Linked DNA regions of Lonchura striata. The protein of the gene in region 1 interacts with the protein of each later gene in a pairwise test. Links are inferred from orthologs where the notes say so. Each region holds a gene or a part of one and is shown on either strand. Other genes may lie near its edges.

The links. The genes of interacting proteins can lie anywhere in the genome.
Region 2: the proteins of PRKAB2 (region 1) and UBXN11 interact in binary tests that used the Homo sapiens proteins (3 or more experiments, as listed by UniProt). The link is inferred for Lonchura striata from reciprocal best matches to the Homo sapiens genes PRKAB2 and UBXN11.
Region 3: the proteins of PRKAB2 (region 1) and PSMD11 interact in binary tests that used the Homo sapiens proteins (3 or more experiments, as listed by UniProt). The link is inferred for Lonchura striata from reciprocal best matches to the Homo sapiens genes PRKAB2 and PSMD11.

Annotation. Positions count from the first base shown.
Region 1 is NC_134611.1:143,043-150,467, forward strand, and holds the start of PRKAB2 (5'-AMP-activated protein kinase subunit beta-2), read right to left. Parts: upstream 3,014-7,425; 5' UTR 2,952-3,013; intron 2,651-2,951; exon of another isoform or gene 765-2,650; intron 708-764; exon of another isoform or gene 684-707; intron 421-683; 5' UTR 405-420; coding exon 243-404; intron 12-242; coding exon 1-11. Other genes in the region: flavin-containing monooxygenase 5-like, read right to left, coding at 4,310-4,667, 4,759-4,831, 5,230-5,579, 5,669-5,865, 6,101-6,243, 6,911-7,073, 7,150-7,338. UniProt on the Homo sapiens protein: Non-catalytic subunit of AMP-activated protein kinase (AMPK), an energy sensor protein kinase that plays a key role in regulating cellular energy metabolism.
Region 2 is NC_134628.1:342,308-349,977, reverse strand, and holds the start of UBXN11 (UBX domain-containing protein 11), read right to left. Parts: upstream 3,011-7,670; coding exon 2,908-3,010; intron 2,729-2,907; coding exon 2,628-2,728; intron 1,889-2,627; coding exon 1,834-1,888; intron 1,038-1,833; coding exon 964-1,037; intron 540-963; coding exon 428-539; intron 1-427. UniProt on the Homo sapiens protein: May be involved in the reorganization of actin cytoskeleton mediated by RND1, RND2 and RND3. Promotes RHOA activation mediated by GNA12 and GNA13.
Region 3 is NC_134627.1:2,666,954-2,674,664, reverse strand, and holds the start of PSMD11 (26S proteasome non-ATPase regulatory subunit 11), read right to left. Parts: upstream 3,011-7,711; 5' UTR 2,954-3,010; coding exon 2,863-2,953; intron 1,272-2,862; coding exon 1,170-1,271; intron 1-1,169.

The sequences.
Region 1 (7,425 bases):
TCCCCAGGAATCTGGGCAAAGAAGACCAGAGAGATGTGACTGAGACAGAGAGACAACTGTGAACACATTCACACAGCTGGCCTCTACAGCTGGCCTCTACCAGCCCACCTGCACATCACACACAGGAGCACCACAGAGCTCCTCCAGGCTCCCAGCTCCCCAGAGACCCCCTGCATAGCCCTACACAGGCAGTGTGCTGAGGTGCTGGAGGCCAGGCAGGGAAGGGAGCAGCCAGCCCCTACCTTGGAGTCATGGGAGCTGAAAACGCTGGGGTCGTCAGTGCTGCCCACCATGATCTTGTGCGGGTGCTCCTTGGCGGGGTGGGAGGCACCGGAGCCGTCCGAGCGGTGGGACTTGGAGCCATGGCGCTCCCCGGACACCCGCTCGCTGGTGGTGTTCCCCATGACAGCTCAGCAGCCCCTGGGAGGGAGACACAGCAACACCCTGCCTTTGCCCTCGGGCTCTGGCAGCAAGCAAAAGAGCTGTCTCCCAAATGTTCTTTGCCAGTGGAGATGAACAGCAATCCTAAAAAAGGCCCCAAATTCATTTCCACTCCCAAGTTTGGAAGCTGAATGGGAAATCAACAAACAAGAAAGCTTGACCTAATTATAGCCACATCCTTAAGAACCATCATTCTAGTTAAGCTCGTAATTGTTAAGATTCCAAAACCAGTATGACTTCACCTGCGTCCCACATCAGCCCTCGGCAGCCAACAGAGTAGAGCTGACGGGAAAAAGAAAGCAAACCATTATTGGTAAACCAACTGCCTGGCGTTAACAGAGCCTCTTTCAGAGTCCTGCAGTCAGGCTCTAGAGACAGCCCAGCAAGAAAACAGCCACAGAGTGAAAGTAGCAGCTGTTTTACAGTCCCCAACACGTCTCCAAGAGCTCGCAGGCAGAAGAGCAGAGCCTTGTGCCTGCAAAGGCGGCAGGGAGCATTTAAAGCGTCCGAATGGAATTGCCCAAGCTGGAGCTTGTCCAAGGAGCAGGGCTAATGCTGTGGTGTCTGCGAAAAGCTCAGCTCTCAGCAGCATTCACTTATGATTCACCAGGCAAGTCACTGTGTCAGCTGCAGCACAGCACACCAAGGAGGACCGTTTGTTGGGACTTAGCCAGCACCTGCCCAGCTGTCTGGAGTGACACGGTGAGGGAAGGGCAGCTCTGGCCACCTCAGTGTCCCTCTGCAGCTGAAGCTGGGTCTCCATCCCCAGTCTCACCCAGCTCAGAGAAAGCAAAACAGGAGAATTGACCAAGCCATGAACAACTACACACCTTTTAGGATAAACAACAAAGCCACTACAAGCTACACAGGACTCTTCAGGCCTTACCCTCTTTCCAGGAGCCAAGATGGACTGGAGTTTTTGCCCACTTCCAGGCTTATTTTGCAGCTTACAGCTTACCTTGGGCTCTGCAGAGCAAGCAAGGAGACAGCCAGCCTTGCTTCATGTGCTTGCTTGTGACATTTGGAGGTTTGTTTAAAAGATCAAGTTATATGAAGAGTGCCAAGCGAGGCTGCCAGCCAAATCCAGGCTTTAGAACATTATGGAGCAATTACTATGGTATTTCTTAAATCCTGAGGGCTAAAAGGCAGCTCAAGTGGGCAGCTAAGCCATACCCCCACCCCTCTCAGGGCAGATCAAGTATACCTGAAGATCCAGGTCAAATGAGCTACACCTCTTGCTCTGACACCTTCCCCCTCTGCTCTGCAGAGGCTCAGACAGCTCCTCACAAAAACTGCCCCTGTGCCACCAGATCTGCTGTTGAGGAGTTTCCTCTCCAGTATCTTCACTAAGGCTCCCTTACTTCTCATCTACAGGGAGGAAGGTGGGAAAGGCTGAACTTCCCTTGTAGCAGGACAGACCTGGGAGATATGTGCAGGTGTTAACAGGTGTGAAGCTTCCCTTTCTCTTCTCTAAAAAACCCCAGTCCCCCTGTCCCTTACAGGTCACGCTCTCCAAGCACTCCCTGAGGTTTATCCCAGGTGGTGGCTCCTGTCTGCCGTGTGCCACCTGAATCCCCGACATCACACACACAGGTACCTGGTCTGTGCCCAGACAGGTCTTTGTGCACAGTCTGCAATACCTGGCTTTGCTGAATTAACTTTTACAGCTCAAACCCTCCTGCATCCAGGCCAGCCCTTGGAGCATTAGGAGATGGTGTGAAACAGGTACACTCAAGTAATGGATGGAAATGCTGCCCACACCACAGCTCCACCAAACCTCCACGGTATCTTGGCACATCCGCTCCCAGTCTGGCAGCAAGCCCCTGCCAGCCACAGCCCACAGCAAGGTGGGCCTGCCTGCCCCATCACCAGGGCCCTTCGGTTCCAGCCAGCCCCAGCTTCTCATGTGGAAGATGACTTGTGAATTATGCCCGTTTCCCTCCCCGGGAAGCGGCCAGTGACCGCGCTGGGAAGCACGGGCAGGCAGCCCGAAGCAGGTGCGCAGAGGGATGGGCTGTGCCCAGCGGCACCGGCAGTGCATTCCCGGGGCTCTGAGGGTCCAGCACCTCGCCGGGCTGACACCGCCCAGGGAAGCCCGATCCGCCCGGATCTCCCTCTTTCGGAGACGGGAAGCAGAGCTGAGCCCTGAGGTCGCCGTGAGGGGGATGAGCTGGGAAAGCGGGGGCGGAAAATCTCCCTCCGAGCAGGCAGGGCTGGGGCTGGGGCTGGGGCTGGGGCTCTGCCCGGCGGGGGCGGCAGCGGGGCTCTCACGGCGGGCTCGGCCCACGGGCACCCGCGGGTCTGCCGCGGCCGGGGGAGGAGCGGGACACGCCGGCAGGGGCCGGGCCCTCCCGGGAGGCTGCCGGGCGGGGTCTGCACCGCTACACCGCGGGGACGCGCAGCCACGCCTCACCCACCGCCTCCCGCAGCGGCGCCCGGGGAGCCGCCACCCTCACACCCACCCTCACACCCGCCCGCCGTCCCCGGGCCCGGGCCCTGCCCGACCCCACCTGCCTCCGCCGCCGCCGCCGCCGCCCCGCTCTCCGCCTCCGTCCAAGATGGCGCCACCCCCCGCCGGCCGCTGCGGGGCGCTCTGACCCGCCCCCGCCGCGCCCCGCGGCCGCGCCCCGCCCCCGCCCCGCGGCCCGCGCCGGGCGGCCGCCATGTTCGCTGCGGGCAGGGCCGCGGCCGCCATGTTCGCTGCGGGCAGGGCCGCGGCCGCCATGTTCGCTGCGGGCAGGGCCGCGGCCGCCATGTTCGCTGCGGGCAGGGCCGCGGCCGCCATGTTCGCTGCGGGCAGGGCCGCGGCCGCCATGTTCGCTGCGGGCAGGGCCGCGGCCGCCATGTTCGCTGCGGGCAGGGCCGCGGCCGCCATGTTCGCTGCGGGCAGGGCCGCGGCCGGTGCCCGCGGCCGGGCGCTGCCCGGGACGGAGCGCGGAGTGCCGCGGCCCGGCACTGCGCTCCCCGCGGCCTGTTCCCAGTTCCTGGCCACCTCCGTGACCTGACCCATAGAGCTCCTGGGGCTGCCGGGCCGGGGCTTGGGGAGCTGCTCCCAGAGCAGCCCATGACCGCACTTGGTGGTATCGCAGCGGGAAAGCTCAACAGACCAGGCTGTGGAACAGGGATTTTTGGAATTCACTTAAGTTAGCAAAATGAATTAAGCATTTATATTCGAGCTTGTAGAGTTATGTGTTGAATTTTAACCTTTTACTTAAGAAACCTCTGCCAAGGTACAAAAGGGCATAAGAAAATGCAAATTATGAAGCTTCTTGCATAAAGAACAATAACAAAAAGGACTGAAAATACAAAGAATCTAGATAAAGAGGCTCCTGTCTCCAAACTTATCAAGAGTGACAGATGGTACTCAGATAAGCACCAAAAGACTGAAAGCACATATGCAGAGAAGAGTTCAAAAGTTCAGCCTTGAGGAAGACCTCGATCTTCAGCCTCAGAGACCACCAGAGACCTGGCAGGACCACCACAGCAAACCACACATGCATAGAAGGGCATGGACCTATATTGCACGAGAGGCAAGGACAGGCGAAGGCAGGGGTTGACTATGCATAAAAAAAGTTTTTAATGTACTATATATGGAACACCTTTGTGAATAAAGGTTTGGGTCACACCAAGGCTCAGTGCACAAGTCTTGGAGAGCAATCTCACTTGTGCCAAGCACTGGCAATACATACCCACTTCATAACTACCCCAGGTTGTGGAGTCTATTTATTTATTCCACGTATCGCTTCGGCTGCACCTTCAAGGAATGGCTCCCTCCATGCTCTGGCATAGCTAGCGAGACACAACAGACAGAAGCCCAAGGGGAACGGAGAAGGCTGCCAGCAGGACCTGCTGTCTCCTTCCCTTTAGGCTAAGGACAGAGCGAGACGTAGACGAGGGTGGCCACAATCATGCCGATGCTGAAGAGCACTGTGAGGACGTGTGGCGCGGCGCTGGGGCGGGCAGGGCGGCGGCTGGCCCGCGGCTGCAGGGCCCGGACCACGCGCTGCTGCTGGCTGAGGATGGCGGCCCTGGCTCCTGCCCACGTGCCCGGGCCCCGCAGCCGGTACTGGTACGGCGTGCAGGGACCGAAGGCCACCTCCACGGCCAGCCTGGGGTCCGTGAGGAACAGGGAGAGCAGGTTGGGCTTGACCCCCAGCTGGCAGGCGAGCTCGTCCATGTAAGGGATGTAATCCACCTGGATGGTGTGCCGCTGGCTCTTCACGTACCTGCGGGCAGGGAGGGAGGGAGGGCAGGAGGGTGTGACAGGGGGAGCGCCGGGGGTAAGGGTGGCAGGGCCCTGCTGCGCGGGGGCCTTACCGCTCAGCCATTCTCTGCTTGGTTTGTGTGATTTCGGCCAGCATGTCAGTGGGCGGCGGCAGGCCCTGCAGCCCTGGGCAAAAGGAGGCTGGAGCTGGAGGGTGGGCTGTGCTCCTGCCATAGTCTGGATGGCTCTGCAGCCCAGCCTGGCCTCTGTTTGCACGTGGGGCTTTTGGGATGTGTCATCGCGTCAGGGGCAAAGTGGGAGACATGGGCAAAGAAAGTAACAGCAGGAAAGGAAAGGGAGAATGTGGTTGGAGGCAACAGCACCAGTTAGTGACCCCCACAAGAGAAGAACAGTGCAAGAGTTGTAGCAAAGTGCAAAGTAGGGTTTTGTCCTCATGAAGAAGTAAAAGGAAAATAAAAAGATGAGTGTGGAGAGGCAGCATGTGAGGGGATGCCACCAGCAATAACTCAGTCTTGGCGTGGCTGGGGGAGCCCAGTTGCATCCCTCAAACTGCCCTGACTTACCTTTGAAGACACGGGTGGCCCAGCGACACTGGAGCTCTGAGATGGGCATGATGGCTCCTAGGGGCTGGATGAGGCCGATGAAAGCCAGTGTTGGCTTTTCCAAGTCAGGGGGGAACATGAACTTGTAGAGGGGAATCTGGTTCTCCACCACCTTCACACAGCCCTCGAGGAACGGGAAGGAGAAGCTGTATCCTGTGGCAAAAACTACGGCATCGACATCTTCCCTGGTGCCATCCTCAAAGATGGCAGATGTCTCTGTGAACTCCTGGATGTTCGGCTTCACCTGCACCCTGCCCGAAATGATGCGGTTGGGCAGGTCGTCGTTGACGGTTGGGTGCTGGTGAAAGATCCTGGAAGGCACACACAGACCTCGTTCAGGCCCTGGCAGGGGGATGGGCATTGCTGGAGCAGGTACCCAGGGTGCTGCTGGGGTGCTCACCTGTGCTTGGGCTTTAGGCCATAGAGCGTGTGGTCAAAGCGGGCATTCAGCTTCCGCTCCAGGAAGAAACTGATGATACTTGGCAGCAGGTTCTGGAGGAGCTGCGTGAAGCGGTTGATGTAGCTGAAATCAAAGGGGTACCCGCTGTCTCCCACCCGGTGCAGCACCCAGGACCCACGCCTGGTGCTGAGGAAAACCTGGAAGGAAGGAGAACGGAGGTGGTGGCATGGCAGCATGCTCAGACCGGGCTGGGCCCCTGCTGTGCTCCAGAGACAGAGAAGCCAGCACAGCTGCTGGGACCACCATAGCCACCCCCACAGAGAGGGGACAGGGTGCTTGTGCCAGGTGCTGGAGGTTAGGGAGCCCACAGGGGATGGAAGGTGATGCTCAGTGCCCTCTGGGGTCCCATTCCTGTGAGCTCTCCCAGCACACCTGCTTGGCTGTGTGGCTCAGCTCCACTGCGATATCGATGCCTGAATTCCCAACGCCAACCACAATCACCCGTTTTCCCAAAAAGGGCTGAGGGTTCTTGTAGTCGCGGCTGTGCAGGTACCAGCCCTCAAACTTTTCCAGCCCTGGAAGAGAGAGGGAAGCCATGCTGGGCTGGCTTGTGGAGCAGAGGGCGGCTGCCCCTTGTTCAGATTGGTGGTGTGTTTTGGGAACAAGCTAGAAGCAGTGTGACCAACTGGAGTTATGCAGCCCTGGGGTGGCTGCCCAGAGAGGTGGTGGCATCACCAAAATGGAGGATTCTCAGTGTAGCCCTGAGCATCCTGATCTGGCTTTGGGACTAGCCTGGCTTGGAACAGAGCTTGGACTGGAGAATTCCATGCTTCCATCCCAAAATTCTGCTGCAGATCCTGTCTGGTGCCATGCATTGCCAGTAGAGCAATAACCAGGGTTTGTGCCACCTTGCCAGACCCTGGTGACAGTGTGCTTCAACTTGTTCCCTAGCCAAAGAGGGTCTCCACAGCTGAAAGCTCTTCAGGCATTTTCTCCTGGAACCCAGAGGCAAGACCACCACCAGTGCTGAGCTCTCCAGCCTTGGTGAGGAGCTGGAGGGCCCAGCAGCTGCTTGGCCAGCAGCATGGAGAGGGAGCCTGTCTCAGGTGGGAGAGGCACGCTGGCAGTGGTGGTATCTGCCAGCAGGATGCTTGGGACACTCATGCAATCCCCCCTGGTGTGGTAAAACTGCAGAGGCATTTAGGGATGTCAGGGAGCAGGCGAGCAGCCCACAGGCAGTACCTGGGAAGGAACTGAGCGGGAGATGAGCGTCGGTGTGGTGCCCACTGCACACCAGCACGGCGTCGAAGACGGCCGCCTCCTGCTGCCCCTCGCTCTCCGTCACCACCTCCCACTGCCCGCTGCTGGCGAAGTCGGGGCGCTTGGACACGCGGCACACGCTGGTCTGGGCGCAGGGGAGCGGTGTCAGGCACCCTGTGCCCCCGTTCCCGCTGCCACCTCCCCCTTGCCCCAGCCCTCACCCTGAAGTGGATGTGGCGGAGCAGGTCGAAGTGCTGGGCGTACATGCGGAAGTACTCCATGATCTTGGAGTTGTGCATGTAGTTGGGGAAGTCCTCAGGGATGGGGAAGTCGCTGAAGCACATCATTTCCTTGGAGGTGTTGATGATGACGGAGCGGTAGATGCTGGCACGGCCGTCCTCGGGGTGCTCCTGTGGGAGCGGGGCACAGCTCAGCGCTGCTCAGGGGATGATGGGCCACCTGCCTGCCCTGCCTGGCACCTCCTCTGTGGGTGCAGG
Region 2 (7,670 bases), on another chromosome or scaffold:
CACTCCCTGATGGAGCCAGGCTCTGTGGGTAAGTTACTACAGCTCCTGTGTACACAAAGCACCTGATTCCATTTTCCACCCACTCTGTGTCAATGTCATGAGATCAACCAAGCCTCAAATGTGGTTTGTGAATTCTGCAGGAGACAGCTGCTCCTCCTGAAGGGCTGAGCCATCAGGTTCTCCCCCCAGAAGGGTGTACAAAACACAGGGATATAAAACCAAACCTTCTGCTGAGCTCCTGTTAGACTGCTCCACGTCTGTGTCCCTGAGAGGGATCGACGTGAAGATCTTGGCCCAGGATCCCAAATTCTGAAGACCCAAATCCTGAGGTTTTGATGCTTTTCTACTCCCCCTTCTCTGAGCACACGGGGGGAGCTGGGCTAGCAGCTTCAGCCCAGAGTGGAGCTGGGATCTCACAGAGGTTTACCCGGCCTGCAGGGGCTCCCTGCTGGCAGCTCCTCCTCCTGGAGTGGTTCTGTGTCTCCCAGCTGGTGCCGTGCCTCTCCAACCCACACCAGGCCGTAGTCGCTCAGGAACCGCTGCAAGAGCAGAGTCGGGTGGGCTTTGGTGCCCAGAGCTCCAGAGAACTGGAAAAGGGAGCCCGAGAGGGGTCAGCTGTGGCTGTGGGAGGCACAGAGGGAGGTGGAACAGGTTTGTCTTGGCCCTGGCAGACAGACTTCCTGGCAGGGCAGTGATAGCAGCTCCATCAGCAGCAGGGCAAAGGGAGGAGATTGTAGTGCCAGGGGAACCTCCCAAGGCTGCAGGAGCTGGGCATTCCTGCAGCCCTGGCAATCAGGATGAAGCTCACAGGAGGCCCAGGTGCTGCTCACATCCAACCTGCTCCCTTTTCTCAGAGGAGAAGGGTTGTGAGGACCAAAGGGGCAGCTTGGAAAAGGCCAAACTGGGAGTGCAGTGACCCCAAACCACAGGAGAGCTGGCTCAGGGCAGGCAGAGCAGCCTCACCTCCATCTCCCAGACCTGGCTCTGCAGCCGAAGGCACCTCGCTTCCAGTTCTGTGCTGGGCGAGTCAGAAGCATCTGTAAGAGAAAAGCTGACGTTCCTCTGAAGATCTCAAGCTGTGGATCACCTGTGCCACACAGGGCAGGGCCCCAGCAGCACCTGCCTGTGCTCAGTGAACTCCCACCCGTGGGACACAGGGGCTGAAGGGGACAATTCACCCTGCAGTGGTTTGACAAGGCTGCTGGCAGGCCAAAAGACAGTTGTGAACAAGCCTGGGGAATTTAAAGCCATGGGAGCTGATGTGAGAGGTGCTGTTGGCAGGCCTACAGTGGAACTTGCTCAGCTCAGCCCTAAGGAGCCCAAAAGGAGCAGGTGCCTGCTGCAGCTGGATCCTGGAATCTTGGCTGGGTGGCAGCACGGTGCAGCAGCAGGAGCAGAGCTCGTGTCTGTGGTTTGACAGCCACATTTGAGCTCTGTGCTCAGGAAATGGAGAGCTCACCACAGCCCTGCACACAGCAGGCTGTTCAGCCCTGCAGGAAACGTCTGTGGGCTCCGGCTGGGGCTGGGAAAGCTGCTGGATGCAGGGGAAAACACCCCTGTGAGCCACTGCAAGCTGGGCTCAATCTCGAGTTCTGCTGGGCTGGAGTCCTGTGGAGACTCCAGGGGTGTGTTTGGCTGCTCCCAGCTGCGAGGAGCTGCCTTCCTGCTGCTTGAACTCGGCAGTGTTTACTGCACTCCTGCCCAGCCTGCGGTTGGCTTCGCAGCCGTGGAGGCTCCGAAACCCACACAAACAGCTCAGGATGTTTTGCAGCAGAGTAACAGACACAAATGCCTTGCTCTGCTGCCCTGCCCAGAGCTGCAGAACGATTTTACCTTCCCCTTCCTGAAGAGTCTTTATCTTCTCCTCGAGCTCGGCGATCCTCCCGGCCTTCAGGGGCAGAACAAAGGGCTGGGTCAGTTCTGGGCTCAGCCCCTCCAGGCACAGCTGGCACAATCAGGGCTGCTGCAGCTCCTCTCCCCCACCCAGCGCTGCCCAAAGGCTCAGCAGGGCTGAACCACCCCACAAACCCCTTAATGAGCCTCAAAGGAGGGCTGGGATAAATGGAGAGCTCCAGGAGTGGGTGACCCATCTCCCGTCCTCCCTCTGCACCAGGTGCTCCTGCTCAGACCTGCGGGGAGGGGCTGGTATGGAAACTAAACCAGCATCTCTGCAGCCACGTCTTAAAAAATCCAATCTGAACAGAAAGAGGTATTTATTCTAAGATTTTAAAGGTATTTATTCTAAGATTTTAAAGGGTATTTATTTATTCCAGTCAGTGATGCAGAGAGGGCTGCTCCAGTTCCACTCTCCTGTGTGAGCAGCTGCTGTTTCAGAAAACAAAAAGGGGGCATGTACCATCACAGGAGGGAAAAAAAAATTAATTCTGAAGCCAAAGAGCTGCTGATGTCAGTGCCAGGGTGCTGAGAGTCACTGCTGCAAGAAGCCCCAGCAGGGACTGTCCCCTCTGCCACCCCAAGGCCTGATCCCACTGCTCTGTTGCTTTGTAAAGGGCTCATTTGGGTAATTAACAGCAGACCACAGATGGACTCTGAGCCCACACAAGGTCTGAGAGGTGGAATTCCTGTGGCAGAGGACAGAGCAGCCTCAGCAAGAGGCTGACTTTTACCTGCAGCTGGATTTCTTGTGCTTGTTTCTCTATTTTTTTTTCCAACAGAGAGATTTTTTCTGCCAGAGAAGACGAGAGCTCCATGTCAGGGTGAGCTGCACCTGAAAACACAAATACCTGTGAGCAGGGTTCCTGGTCTGCCACAGCAGGGAGGACTTTTCGGGTAAAAATCCCTTGGTTCTGGTTGTGTGTGCGGGAGGGCAGCCACAGAAGGGGTCTGGCCGGGGGTGTCACCGAAAAGCTGCTGGGCCAGAACTCCCAGCTCCCTCAGGGGCTTTACCCTCCGTGTTGTTTTCAGTGCTGACCCCGGAGCAGGAGCGGAGGGAGCCTTGCAGGGACCCCTCGGCCCAGGCCTGGTCTGGAAACTCACCCCCCGCCGCCATCTTGTGTACAGCCGGTTGCCACGGCGACGCGAGGCGGGCCGCGATTGGTCCGGCGCTGGTCACGTGGTGGGCGCTGGAGTTCCCTGGGAACTACAATTCCCAGCGTGCACCGCGCGCGTTCTCCCGGGACACCGGCGCCGGGAATTACCGGGAGCGGGATCCATTTTTCTCCTCAGCCCCCCTCCGCACACACCCGTCAGCCTGGCCTGGGGCTCCTCCCGATTCCCTCACCTGCTCCCTCGGTCCCTGTTTCCTCAGCCGGGCCCCGCTGGTGCCCTGAGCTGCCCCAGCTCCTGTCCCCATCCCGGGAGCCTTTCCTGGGTGTCCCCATCCCACCCGGAGAGCTCGGCCTCGCCAGCTGCAGGCGAGTGGGACAGGCCAATTGTCCCCGCAGTTTTACCTCCTTTGATGGGGCGTGCACAGAACCACAGACAGGTTTGGGCTCCAGGGACCCCAAAGCCCATCCCACCCCCTGCCATGGGCAGGGACACCTCCCACTGTCCCACATTGCTCCAAACCCTGTCCAGCCCGGCCTTGGACACTGTCAGGGAGGTTGGCTGTGCTCAAGTAATTTCTACTTGCCCGAAGAGCCAAACCGAGCCAAATTTGGTGAAGCTTTTCTGCAGCAGAGCCCTCAGCTGAGGGTGGGAGCTGCAGGGAGCTCACCGTGATGTGCTTCACCAGCACGAACCCAGACAGCAGGTGTGTGTTCTCAGCACGTTCCAGTGACTTTATTCATTTCAAACCATCTTAAAATAACCAGATCCTTTCGTTTCCTGTGCTGCAGGGCGAGGGAGCTCGGAGATCTGCTGTGAGCAGATGGAGCTGGGGGATTAAAGGAAGCATTTCCCGCTTTAGGGGATTAAAGGAAGCATTTCCCCCTTTATTTAGGATCTGTAACTGAAATCCCAAGGGATGCCTTGGCTCCAGCTCCACCTGGAGGGAAGGAGGTTTATTCCTTCTGACCTGGGCTGCGATTTGCAAACCCTCCCTCCGATCCAGGGAGGGTTTCAGTCACTCTTAGTCCTTGGTGGGTGTGAGGACAGAGAGGCCCCAGGGAGAAGCAGAACCTGAGGGGTTTCAGCCTTTCCTTCAACTTTTTAACTCGGGATGCACTTTTTCTTTTCACCTACTTCTGAAAGAACACCCACTGCAGTGGGGAATTTTATTTTTATCCTTTTATCCATTTCTCCACTGCTTCCCGCCATGGCTAGCATCCTGCGCTCATCCCTTTACACCCTTTTGTCCCATTTCTCCACTTTATCTCTATTCAGCTGAAATTTCCCTGCTCTGTCACTCATCACTGCCGTGCCAGGGAGCAGGGAGCTGCTCCGGCGCCAGGGGATGCGGAGGAGCAGCTCCACGGCCCGGGCATCCCAAATCCACGGCCCGGGCATCCCAAATCCACGGCCCGGGCATCCCAAATCCACGTCCCGGGCATCCCAAATCCACGGCCCGCACATCCCAAATCCACGGCCCGCACCTTTTTCCTCGCAGCGCGGGCAGCAGCTGCGACTTCCCCAAAACCGCGCCGGTCCCGCCGCTGCTGGGGAAGGGAGGCGCGATTGGGTGCGCGGTGCCCCCGCCGGGCTTAAAGGCTCGGGGCGAACGGGGAAGTGCCACGGGAAGTGTCGGAGCCCCGCCGAGCCCCGGCCATGCCGCCCCTGCAGCGCGCCCGCCTGCTCGCCCTGCTCGCCCTGCTCGCCCTGTGCCTGGTAAGGACGAGCCCGCAGCTCTGAAAACCGCCGTGTTTGGTTTTCTCTTTGCCTCGCACCGCTGTGGTCTCAGCAAGGGATTTGTGCTGCGCTCTGCCAGGTCCCGACTCTTCCATGCGGTTCTTTTTTTCATGCCTTTCTTTGCCCTGAGGGCACCGCTCACCTCCGGAACCCTGGCAGAGCTCTCCAGCCCATCTTCCAGCCTGGCCGTGCCCGCTGTGGGGATGCTGGGCTGGAGGGGCTGCTGGACACACGCCTGTGGTTTCCTCTGGTTGTTATCGCCCTTCCTGCTGCGGGCTCCATGGGTCGAGAGCCAGGCTGAGGACATGGGGCTCTCCTGGGTGTCAGGAATGAACCCAGCAGCGCTTTTGGGGAGCATGATGCACTTTGAGGCAGCTTTTGGGATGGTTTTTTTTCTCCTACATGTTGGTAACGATGCCAGATTTGTCTGTGCTTATTTCACTCATGGAGTTCCCCACAGATGGGACCTGCTGCTGGCTCCACGGGGTGCGTGTAGATTTTGGGATTTTCCCCTCTGTAAAGCAGGCAAAAAGGACAAGAGTGTGGCAAAGGGGCAGAGCAGAGTTTTGGGCTTCGTTCCTGCTCCTTTCCCATCTCGGGAGGGACCCTGGGGAGGGGTGTAAGACAGTGTGCTTCACAGTGGGAAACGGCATCGCTTTTCCAGCAGCCAGGACAGCGTCAGAGAGGGAAAGAAACTGCCCCGAGCTTGCCACCCTGGCTGTGCTGCATTTCACACACCGACTGCACCCTGCCCGGGCTCGGGGGTCCCCCCTGCTCCTCGCACAACCCCCACCCCTCTTTTTCTTCTGCAGGGCCACGGCCCGACACCTTCTCACCACTCCCTCGCGGCAGCCAGAGGAGCAGACACCACTCCCTGGCTTCCACTTCCCCCCTAATTTCTGAACCCCCCGGGTCAGCAGCAGGGCAGCGACTCCAGGGAGAGCTCACTTCCCTCCCTGCCTTGGGACGAGCCCAAAGCCAAGAGCTGGAGTGGGAAGGGAACCTGCCAGGGGACAGGAGGCTGTTTGTCCCGCCTGGGAAGGGGCAGCGTGGGCGCCGCAGTGCCCCCAGACCCATCCCGTGAGGGGTCTCGGGGCTTTCACCGCTGCTGTGGGGAGGGATGTCTGACGCTGTTTTCCTTGCCAGGCGCTCGGCCAGGCCAAGGACACGAAAGCGAACGCGGAGGAGCTCGCTCCGCAAGATGCCGCCGCGGCGAACGCCACGGTCAGCGGCGGCCGGAGCTCGCCCGGCGCCAGCCCCCCGCTCCTGGCCGTGGCGCTGGGGGTGCTGGCAGCGCTCCTCCTGCAGCTGCGCTGAGCCGGGGGCGTCCCTGCAGCCCCCCGAAGCCCCTCCCCAGGACGGCATCACCGGCACCGCACCCGTTCCTGCCGCCACCCCCGGCCTCGGAGCGAGCCCCCGGCCCTGCGGAGCGGAGCAATAAACGCGCCGGTGCCGACACCTCGGGCTCGTTCTCCCGCTTCGGTACCGGGGTTGGTGGGGGCGCAGCACCGGCCCCTTCTCGGGGCTTCAACCCTCGGAGATGGAGGGGCCACGCCCGAGCCGGGGGGGAGAAGGCCCGGGGGTCCCCGAGTGAGCATCCCCCGGGGGTCCCCGAGTGAGCATCCCCCGGGGGTCCCCGAGTGAGCATCCCCCGGGGGTCCCCGAGTGAGCATCCCCCGGGGGTCCCCGAGTGAGCATCCCCCGGGGGTCCCCGAGTGAGCATCCCCCGGGGGTCCCCGAGTGAGCATCCCCCGGGGGTCCCCGAGCGGTTCCCGGGGATCCCGGAGCGCTCCCGGAGCAACTCCCGAGCGGTTCCGGAGATTCCCGAGCGGCTCCGGAGATTCCCGAGCGATCCCTCAGCGTTCCCCGGAGGCTCGGGCGGGGCAGCCCGCGCGGAGCCCCAGCCAATCCCGCGGCAGGGGCTGCTGCTCCCTGCCAATCCGGCGCCGCCACCTCCCGCCCTCAGCCAATCACAGCCCGACAGGGTTAATATAAATGCTGAGCGCAGGCGCCCCGCTTCCTGTGAGGGGCGGACGCGGCTCCGGTCGTGTGTCTGTGTGAGGGGGGCTCTGTAATATTGAGCGGCTTTCGCCTTCCTCAGCGTCCCTTCCTGCCGGGCCGATCCTAACCTCTAAGTCCCCCGTGTGGCTGCCTGTCCCCCTGCCCGGACTGGTCCTGGGGCAATGGAGACACGTAAAAGACGGGCGTTTGTTGCCGGAAGCCGCGGCCGGCCCAGCCGCTGGAGCCGCCTGATGTCCCCCGGCATCGCCGGGCTGTCAGCGCTGCTCCCTGCGAGGGCCGTGAGTGCTCCGTGCAGCGACCAGAGCACGCTCCTGCTGGCAGCCCTGTCCTCTCCCCAGCAGCGAGCACCGAGTTTGTCTCCATTTCCCACCCCGTGTTCCCCTGGCTCCAAGCCACATCCCCGGAGCTCCTGCTCTGGAGCCGGGTGGGGTGAGACCTGTCCTGGGCACCCGAAAGATGCGTGCCCTGAGCCGTGGTGCAGCCCTGCAGCAGGGACAGGCACCACTGCTGGCTCTGAGCTCAGCCCGCGGTGCCACGAAGGGACCCCCGAGGCCACAGCTGGGTCCCGTGGGCTGGAGCTGCCCCGCAGCCCCCGGAGCTCCCGGGCACGGCTTGGCCGGCGCCTCCCTCCTCAGAGAACGCGGCCACGGAGCTGCCTGTGCCCGTGGGCACTAGAGGGCACCGGGATCCCATCCTGGCATCGGCATCAGGGCTGGGGCAGGGGTGCTGCCAGGCTGCGGGCAGGACAAGGACACCAAGCACCCGGGCAGAGCTGGCCCAGACAAGCAGGGCTGTATCTTACACAGGTACATAAATACAGTTCAGGGGGAACAGACACTTGTGGGGAGGAGCCCCGCTGCTCTCCAGAGCGTCCCACGCTGGCCGTGTCCATGGGATCCTTC
Region 3 (7,711 bases), on another chromosome or scaffold:
GCAGGGCCCAGCCATGTTTGGTGATCTCTGGTGAGCAAGCACCAGGGTGCAAAGGGCACTGGCACAGCACAGACACCCACACTGAGCTCCTGACTTCAGCCAGGAAAGGGACACTTGCCCAGCAGCTTCCTCTGTCCTGCAGGAGCAGGAAAACCCTGTGCTGGAGGGGTTTATTTTTCCCCACAGACTCTAAAAGCAGCCCCCAGCAGGAGTAAGAGGTGAACACCTGAGCGAGGTGACAAGAACAGCACCTCTCAGGACCAGTCACCCACTGTCCCCAGCCCTGCCCAAGTGCCATCCACAGTGGATCAGGGCTGGAATGCTCATTCCAGCCCAGGGCAGTGACATGGCCCAGCCCAACGGGAGCTTCCCAAGCCCAGTGGGACACCAAGGGACATTTCACAATAGATACAAACTGTGACCTGGAGCTGTGGCTGAACAGCCAGGAACTTTCCATGAGCTATTCTGAAGTCAGGCCCCTTCCAGTGGGACTGAACCTGCTGCTGGGTGCTTTCCTCACCCTGTGCCAGACTTGCAAGTAAACATTTCCACTGCCCAGGGCTGCAGCCCAAGCCCAGAACACTCTGGGCACAGACACAGAGAGTCCTGACATGCTCCAGGAATAAAACACAGCCCTAGACTGCAAAACAACCAACTGCTGCCTTGAGCTCTCCAGGAAACAGGAGAGAGGAAAGACTCAAAATCATCACTGAACAGAGAACTCGACTCCATCCCTGTCCCCTCACACACTCACAATAGAGGGACTGTCCCCTGCAGAGCTGGACAGGGGCTGCTGATGTAATGGCCAGCAGATAAATCAATTGATTGTGAGAGGAGCTGCGGGTAAGAGAGAATTTCATGGGACAAACTTTCCTGTTTGAAACCATCCAGGAGACACCTCTCATCTCAAACAAAAGAACTAAGTAAAACTTTAGTCACCCACACTGAAACAGCCCCACAGACTGAACTGTGCATCGTTTGGAACACTGGGCCAAGCAACACCAGATTGATATTTATGTTCTTTATTTGATTTTTAGTTTCTGTCCTGTCTCGGAGAGAAAATTGCCTGCCAAAAGCTGTTTTTCCAGCTATACCACTAAGTAAGGAGACTAAATGCATTGGCTGCAGGATCTGCTGCCTGTTACCTCAATTCCTGATTTCAGGCTCACCTTCTGCCTGCCCAGTCTTGGCCAGCAGTGACCCCAACTCCAGGATGCTCTGCTCTTTGACTTGCACTGCTTCCTCATCGTTTTCCTGGACATCACGTTTCACTGGGAAGAAAAAGAGCAGGAAAGTTGCCTTTAGTGGTGTTTCAGGTGGAAAACCATCCCTGCTGGTCAGCTCCTGGAGAAGTGCCCAGAGCAGGACCTGCTCCAACAGGCACCAGGGAGCTCAGCCTAGCCCAGGAGGTCTGGGAAGTTTAAATCCAGTGCAGGGAAGTTTGCAGTGCTTTGTCGGTGCTCCACAGGGGCTTTACTAGCCCACAGACTCCCCCCTACTCACTCCAGCTCCAGGTCTGAACAATCTCAGCTTGTCCAGCTATGCAAGTATCACTCAGAACCAACACCACACACCAGAGCATACTGGAGCCACAGGACCAAATAAGAGACATTGAATGGCATTTCTGAGGTTGGACACTCCACTCTGGGATTGCTGATGTTGCTGCTTTGTGTATGAAGCTGAGATCCCGTGGACAAAGTGCAGCACAAGCAAAGTGAGGTGGGTACACCTCTCCCCACTTTGGTGTCTCACCTGCCAGTGCCGAGTCCTGGCAGTGCCACCACCCTCTGCTCCAGGGAGTGACTCTGCTCTGAGGCAGATCAAGAACAAGCGACAGCAGCACAATTCGAGCACAGCACCAGCTCCGTGCGAGTTATCCACCACGCAGGGCCCTTCCCTCCCTGCCACCACCCCAGCACAGGGAGCTGCTCCAGCCTGCACACAAACAGAGCCCAAATCCCGCCTCTAGGGAACTGCAACTGCAGCTCTCATCCCCTGCAATTCCCTACCAAAAGCGAGGGAACTTTGATCTCCAAGAGAAAAGTATCACAGCAACATTGTCTGGGCCACTCCTGATGCTCCCCACCCACACCACGGGCTGAGCCCTGACTGAGCCCGACCCCGAGAGCGGCAGCTCCCGCTGAGCACCGAGCACACCGAGAGCTCCGACAGCACCTCCGGGCTAACGGGACGCTCGGAAAACTCCCGACACAGCGGGTGACAGCAGGGCACGGCAGCAGAACCAAGAACCCCTGCTTCCCACAGCGGTCCGCGGGCAGCGCGGCCCGGCCCGCTCGGGGTGCCCACAGCACCGACCCGTCCGCGGCAGCGCGGCCCGACGGAGCCGGAGAAGCGAACGCCAGCGAGCTCCTCCGGCCGCGGCGGAACGGGCGCTGCGGGAGCCACCATCGCTGCCGGCCCGGCCCGGGCCGTGACACCGCGCCCCAAACCGCCGCGACCCGCCCCGACGCCCCGCGCTACCGGCACCGCCGCGGCCCCGCGCGCGCCGATCGGGGGTCCCGGGCCGGCAGGCTCGTTCCAGCCGGACGGGGAGGAGCGGCCGGCCCGGCTCCGGCGCTGCTCGGAGCGGCTCCGCGGACACGCACCGGGCACCGGCCCCGCCGCCGGCTCCCGGAGCGCGGCCCCCGCTCCGCCCCGCAGCGACAGCTCCCGCCGCCCGTGCCCCCACGCGCGGGGGCCGCCGCCGGTGCCGTCCCGGCGCGGTGCAGTGCCGCGGGGCCGGGCCCAGGCCGCGCTCCCGCCGGGCGCGCACGGTGAGTCAGCAGCGGCGGCGGCGCGGGGCTCGGCGCGCCGCGGGGGGCGGCGGGGCGCGGGCGGCGCGGGCGGCGGGCCGGCGCTCACCGATGGAGTGCAGGATGCCGATGGAGGCCTCGCGGTCGGTGGAGAGCAGGGACTGCGCGCGCTGCAGCTCCAGCACCGCCGCCGCCGCCATCTTGCCGCTCCTCCGCCTCGCCGCCAGCCCGGAAGCGGCGCCGCGGCCACGCCCCTTCCGCGCGCGCGGCATGCTGGGAACTGCAGTCCCGGCGCGCGGGCGGTGCAGGGGCGGGGCCTGCGGAGGGGCGGGGCTGGGGGCGGGGTTTGCGGCACGACGCCTGCGCCGGGGCACGGGGCGCGGTCCCGGCTGAGGGCGGGGCGGGACGGAGGCGTGGCCTGATGAGCTGTGTCGGGTGGGTGGGCGTGGCCTGAGGGGGCGGGGCGGGACAGCGGGACTCGGCGGTGACGTGTGAGGGGCGGGGCTTAGGGCGTGGCCTTGGCCGGGGGCGTGGCAGAAAAATGGCGCGAGGGCACGGGAGGGGCGTGGTCCCTGGAGGGGCGTGGCCTATAAATAGGCGGGAAGCCGCGTGACGTGGGCGTGTCTATGGGAAGGGTGACGTCATTAGTGGGCGTGTCCCGGGCCGCGGTGTCTCCCGGGCCCGCGCCGGTCGCGTCCCCGGGAAGGAGCGGGGGGCGCCGGGTCCCGGGCCCCGAGCGGGACTCTGCGGGGTCCGCGGCACCGGGAAGGCCGCTGGGGCTGGGAGGGGGCGTGCGGGGTCCCGCCCGGAGCATCCCCCAGCCGTGGGTCCGGTGCTGGGGGTCCCCGAGGATCCACATCCCCGCGGCCCCCTCAGCGCCCCGGACAGCTTCGGGGAGGGAAGAGAGCCCAGCAGGGCCATGGCACCTGTGGAGGAGTCTGTCCCCGTGTCCCCGAGGCGGATCCTGTCCCCACCCCACCAGGGGGACGCTGTCCCGCTCCCAGTGCCCGACCGGGCCGCACTCGGTGGGACCGGTCCTTCCCGTTGTGTTCCCGGTGCTGCCCCCTCCCCTCCCGGCCCCTTTTCCTGCTCCAGGAGCGCTGCCCGCAGCAGGGGCTGGGCTGGGGGGAAACCCGGCCTTGCACCCTCCGCTGCTCAGAAAACAGCCCCCACATCACCGCTGAGCTCCCCAAACCCACCCACGGCCAAGCCCGTCCTGCTGTGTCCCCCGCACGCCCGGACGAGCAGCCCCAGACCGGCCCCTTTCTGCCGCTGGAAAAGCCAATTTAATGCCTGAAAGAGTCCGCTTTATATTAAACGGGAAATAAAACCAAAACCCTGCCCCTGGCTGCTCCTGGGAAGTCATGTCAGTGTGGGATCCCAATCTCACCGTGAGATCCCAAGGTCACTCTCGGATCCCAATGTCACTGTGGGATGCCCCAGGCGGTGCCAGCCTGGGGACAGCCACAGGAGGTGGCTCTGAAGCAGCGACTGAGGCCCCCTTCAGCAGCCACGTTTTGGTGCCCAGCAGATGAAGTTTAATGGGTCAGGAGTGTCTCTGTGGAACTGGGGGGCTGAGGGGGATGTTCAACCTCCTCCTCTGCCTCCCTGCAGTGGGAAAAGCCAGGAGAGCAGCCAGTGGGATCCCTGGCACTGAGACCTGACCCACCCACCCCAGCTCATCACACTGATGGCAGCCAGATCCTGCAGCACCGGAATGGACCCAGCCCTCCAAATACCACATAAGAAAACTCTCAAAAATGGGGAGATGATGCCTAAAATACCTAAAAGGAGGGTTCAGAGGGTAATAGAGCGGGGATTTTGATGAAGGAAAAGCTAGGGACCTGTGGGTGAACCTTGGGGTCCATGAGCAGGAGCCTGTGTGCACCAGTCAAATCTTGGCGTTCTGGAGAGTCTTCCCATCCCGACACTGAACTTAATTTACACTGGATTTAATGAACCCACTCCAAAAGAGAACATTAAACAAGTTTTGAAACCCACATTCACCCCTGAAACCCAGTGGGCACAGGAGGAGTGTGGTGGTAGAGGGTGGTACAGTCAGAGACCCAGTCTGTCTGTCCACCTGTCCCTCCACCATCCATCCATCCATCCATCCATCCATACCTGCCATCCATCCATCCATCCATACCTGCCATCCATCCATCCATCCATCCATCCATCCTTCCATCCATCCTTCCATCCATCATCCATCCTTCCATCCATCCATCCATCCATCCATCCATCATCCATCATCCATCATCCATCCATCCATCCATCCATCCATCCATCCATCATCCATCCATCATCCATCCATCATCTATCCATCCATCCATACCTGCCATCCATCCATCCATCCATACCTGCCATCCATCCATCCATCCATCCATCCATCCATCCATCCATCCTTCCATCCATCCTTCCATCCATCATCCATCCTTCCATCCATCCATACCTGCCATCCATCTATCCATCCATCCATCCATCCATCCATCCATCCATCCATCATCCTTCCATCATCTATCCATCCATCCATACCTGCCATCCATCCATCCATCCATACCTGCCATCCATCTATCCATCCATCCATCCATCCATCATCTATCCATCCATCCATACCTGCCATCCATCCATCCATCCATACCTGCCATCCATCCATCATCCATCCATCATCCATCCATCATCTATCCATCCATCCATACCTGCCATCCATCCATCCATCCATACCTGCCATCCATCTATCCATCCATCCATCCATCCATCCATCCATCCATCCATCATCCATCATCCATCATCCATCCATCCATCCATCCATCCATCATCCATCATCCATCATCCATCCATCCATCATCATCCCTCCCTTCCCAGAGGAGGCAGACAAAGGCAAGCAGGTCATTTGCCATGCCATAATAATGGCAACAACTAATAAAAATAATGAATAATGAATAAAAGTGGGAGATTGGGCCAAGGGAATAATTTCTCCAACCTGAACCAGCTGTTCTGGGGTAAAAGCAATGGAAACAGGGAGTGGGATCAGGCAGTGTTGTGATCCTGGCAGTGCAGGGGTTAAACCCTGATGGAGGCATTCTGGGTTTTGGGGTGGCCCCAGGTGCCGTGGGGGAGCACCCCAATTTTCTGTTCTGAGGGTGCCATCCCTCCTTCCCCGGTCACTGGTTTCTCCCTGATCCATTTCCAGAGGGGCAATCAGAGCCGGATATGGGGGGCCGAGGTGGGCACGGATGAGGGGGCACCCCCAAGGTCCCTGCAGTGGTGGTGCCTTCACCCACCCAGACAGGGCAGGGACAACCCACGGGACCTCTGCGTCCCCCGAGAGCCTTCAGGGCGTCAGCAGCGACCGGGGTGAGCACAGGCACCGGAGCTGCCCACTGGGACCGAGCTGGGGATCCCCAGTGTGGGGGGAGCGACCCCGCAGCCCCTGAGGGGCACCCCCAGCCCCAGGGTGTGAACGTGTCCCTGCTGTGTCCCTTGTGTGTCCCTTGCATGTCCCTGGCGTGTCCCTCACATGTCGCTGGTGTGTCCCTGGCGTGTCCCTTGTGTATCCCTGGTGTGTCCCTGCTGTGTCCCTGCTGTGTCCCTGCTGTGTCCCTGGCGTGTCCCTGGCATGTCCCTGGCGTGTCCCTCACATGTCGCTGGTGTGTCCCTTGTGTGTCCCTGGCGTGTCCCTCGCGTGTCCCTCGCATGTCCCTGCTGTGTCCCTGCTGTGTCCCTCGCGTGTCCCTCATGTGTCACTGGCATGTCCCTGTTGTGTCCCTGCTGTGTCCCTGTTGTGTCCCCGGCGTGTCCGCGGTGTGTGGGGTTTGCGCACACGTGCGGGGTGGGGGCACACGCGGGGTGCCTGTGACGGGACAGGTCGGAGTGGGTGGCACCCCATGTGGGCAGGGGGCTGCCTAGGGACCCTCCACACACGCTCCACACAGGTGGGGAGCCCCCCGCACACACGCTCTGCTCTCCCTGCACATCCCTCTCCCCCTTGCACGACCCCCTCGCCCCCCTCCCCCCTCCCGCTCCCGCCCCATAATCGGCTCCAGCTGCACAAACATTCCCGCACCCGGAGCCGCCGCCGCCTCCGGAGCCGCCCCCGCGCCCGCCCAGACCCTCCCCCGAGCCCCCTCTGGGCCCCCTGGCCAGCCCCTCCCCCGGAGCCCCCTGGGCCCCGCCGGACCTTCCCCGGCCGAGGGGCAGCCCCGGCAAAGCCCTGCAGGACGGGGCAGGGAGGGGTCCTGGGGGGCGGGGGGAGACCGTGTCCATCCGTCCCGTTTGTGTCCATCCATCCTGAGCTTACTCATTCCGTCCTGTCCATCTACCTCACATCCACCCATTCCACACATGTGCATCCATTCGTGTCCATCCATCCATCCATGTCCATCCATCATCCATCCATCCATCCGCTTATTCCATGTGCACCCACCCCGTGTGCATCCACCCACCCATCCATGCCCATCCATCCCTTGTCTATTCACCCTGCGCTCCCTGGATGTTGGTGGGGTCCCGCATTCTCCCACCCCAGCCTCTCCAGGAGGTGCACCAGAATGGAGATGGGAGCCTGTGCACACCCACCCTGTGTCCATCCACCCCAGGCTCTCCAGGAGTTACCCAGACTGGAGATTGGGGCCATCCATCCGTCCATCCATCCATCCCCTACCCTGCAGGAGGGGCGCTGGGATGGAGCCAGGGCACCACACCCCTGAGTCCAGGGGAGGGGAGGACGCTGTGAATGGCGCAGCTCATGACACCCACTGGCCCCCAGCGCTCCTGGACAGTGCTGGGATGTGGGGGCGGCCCCACATTCCCCACTCCCCACGCTGCAGGCGCGTCGCTGTGCAGAGCCGGGATCCCAGAGGGCTCCGGGACAGTGACGGGGATGGATCCCACCCGCAGCGCGCACAGCGGCCCGGCTGGCGGCTGGGGACAGGATCCTGCGCCTGCCTTGGCACACCCGC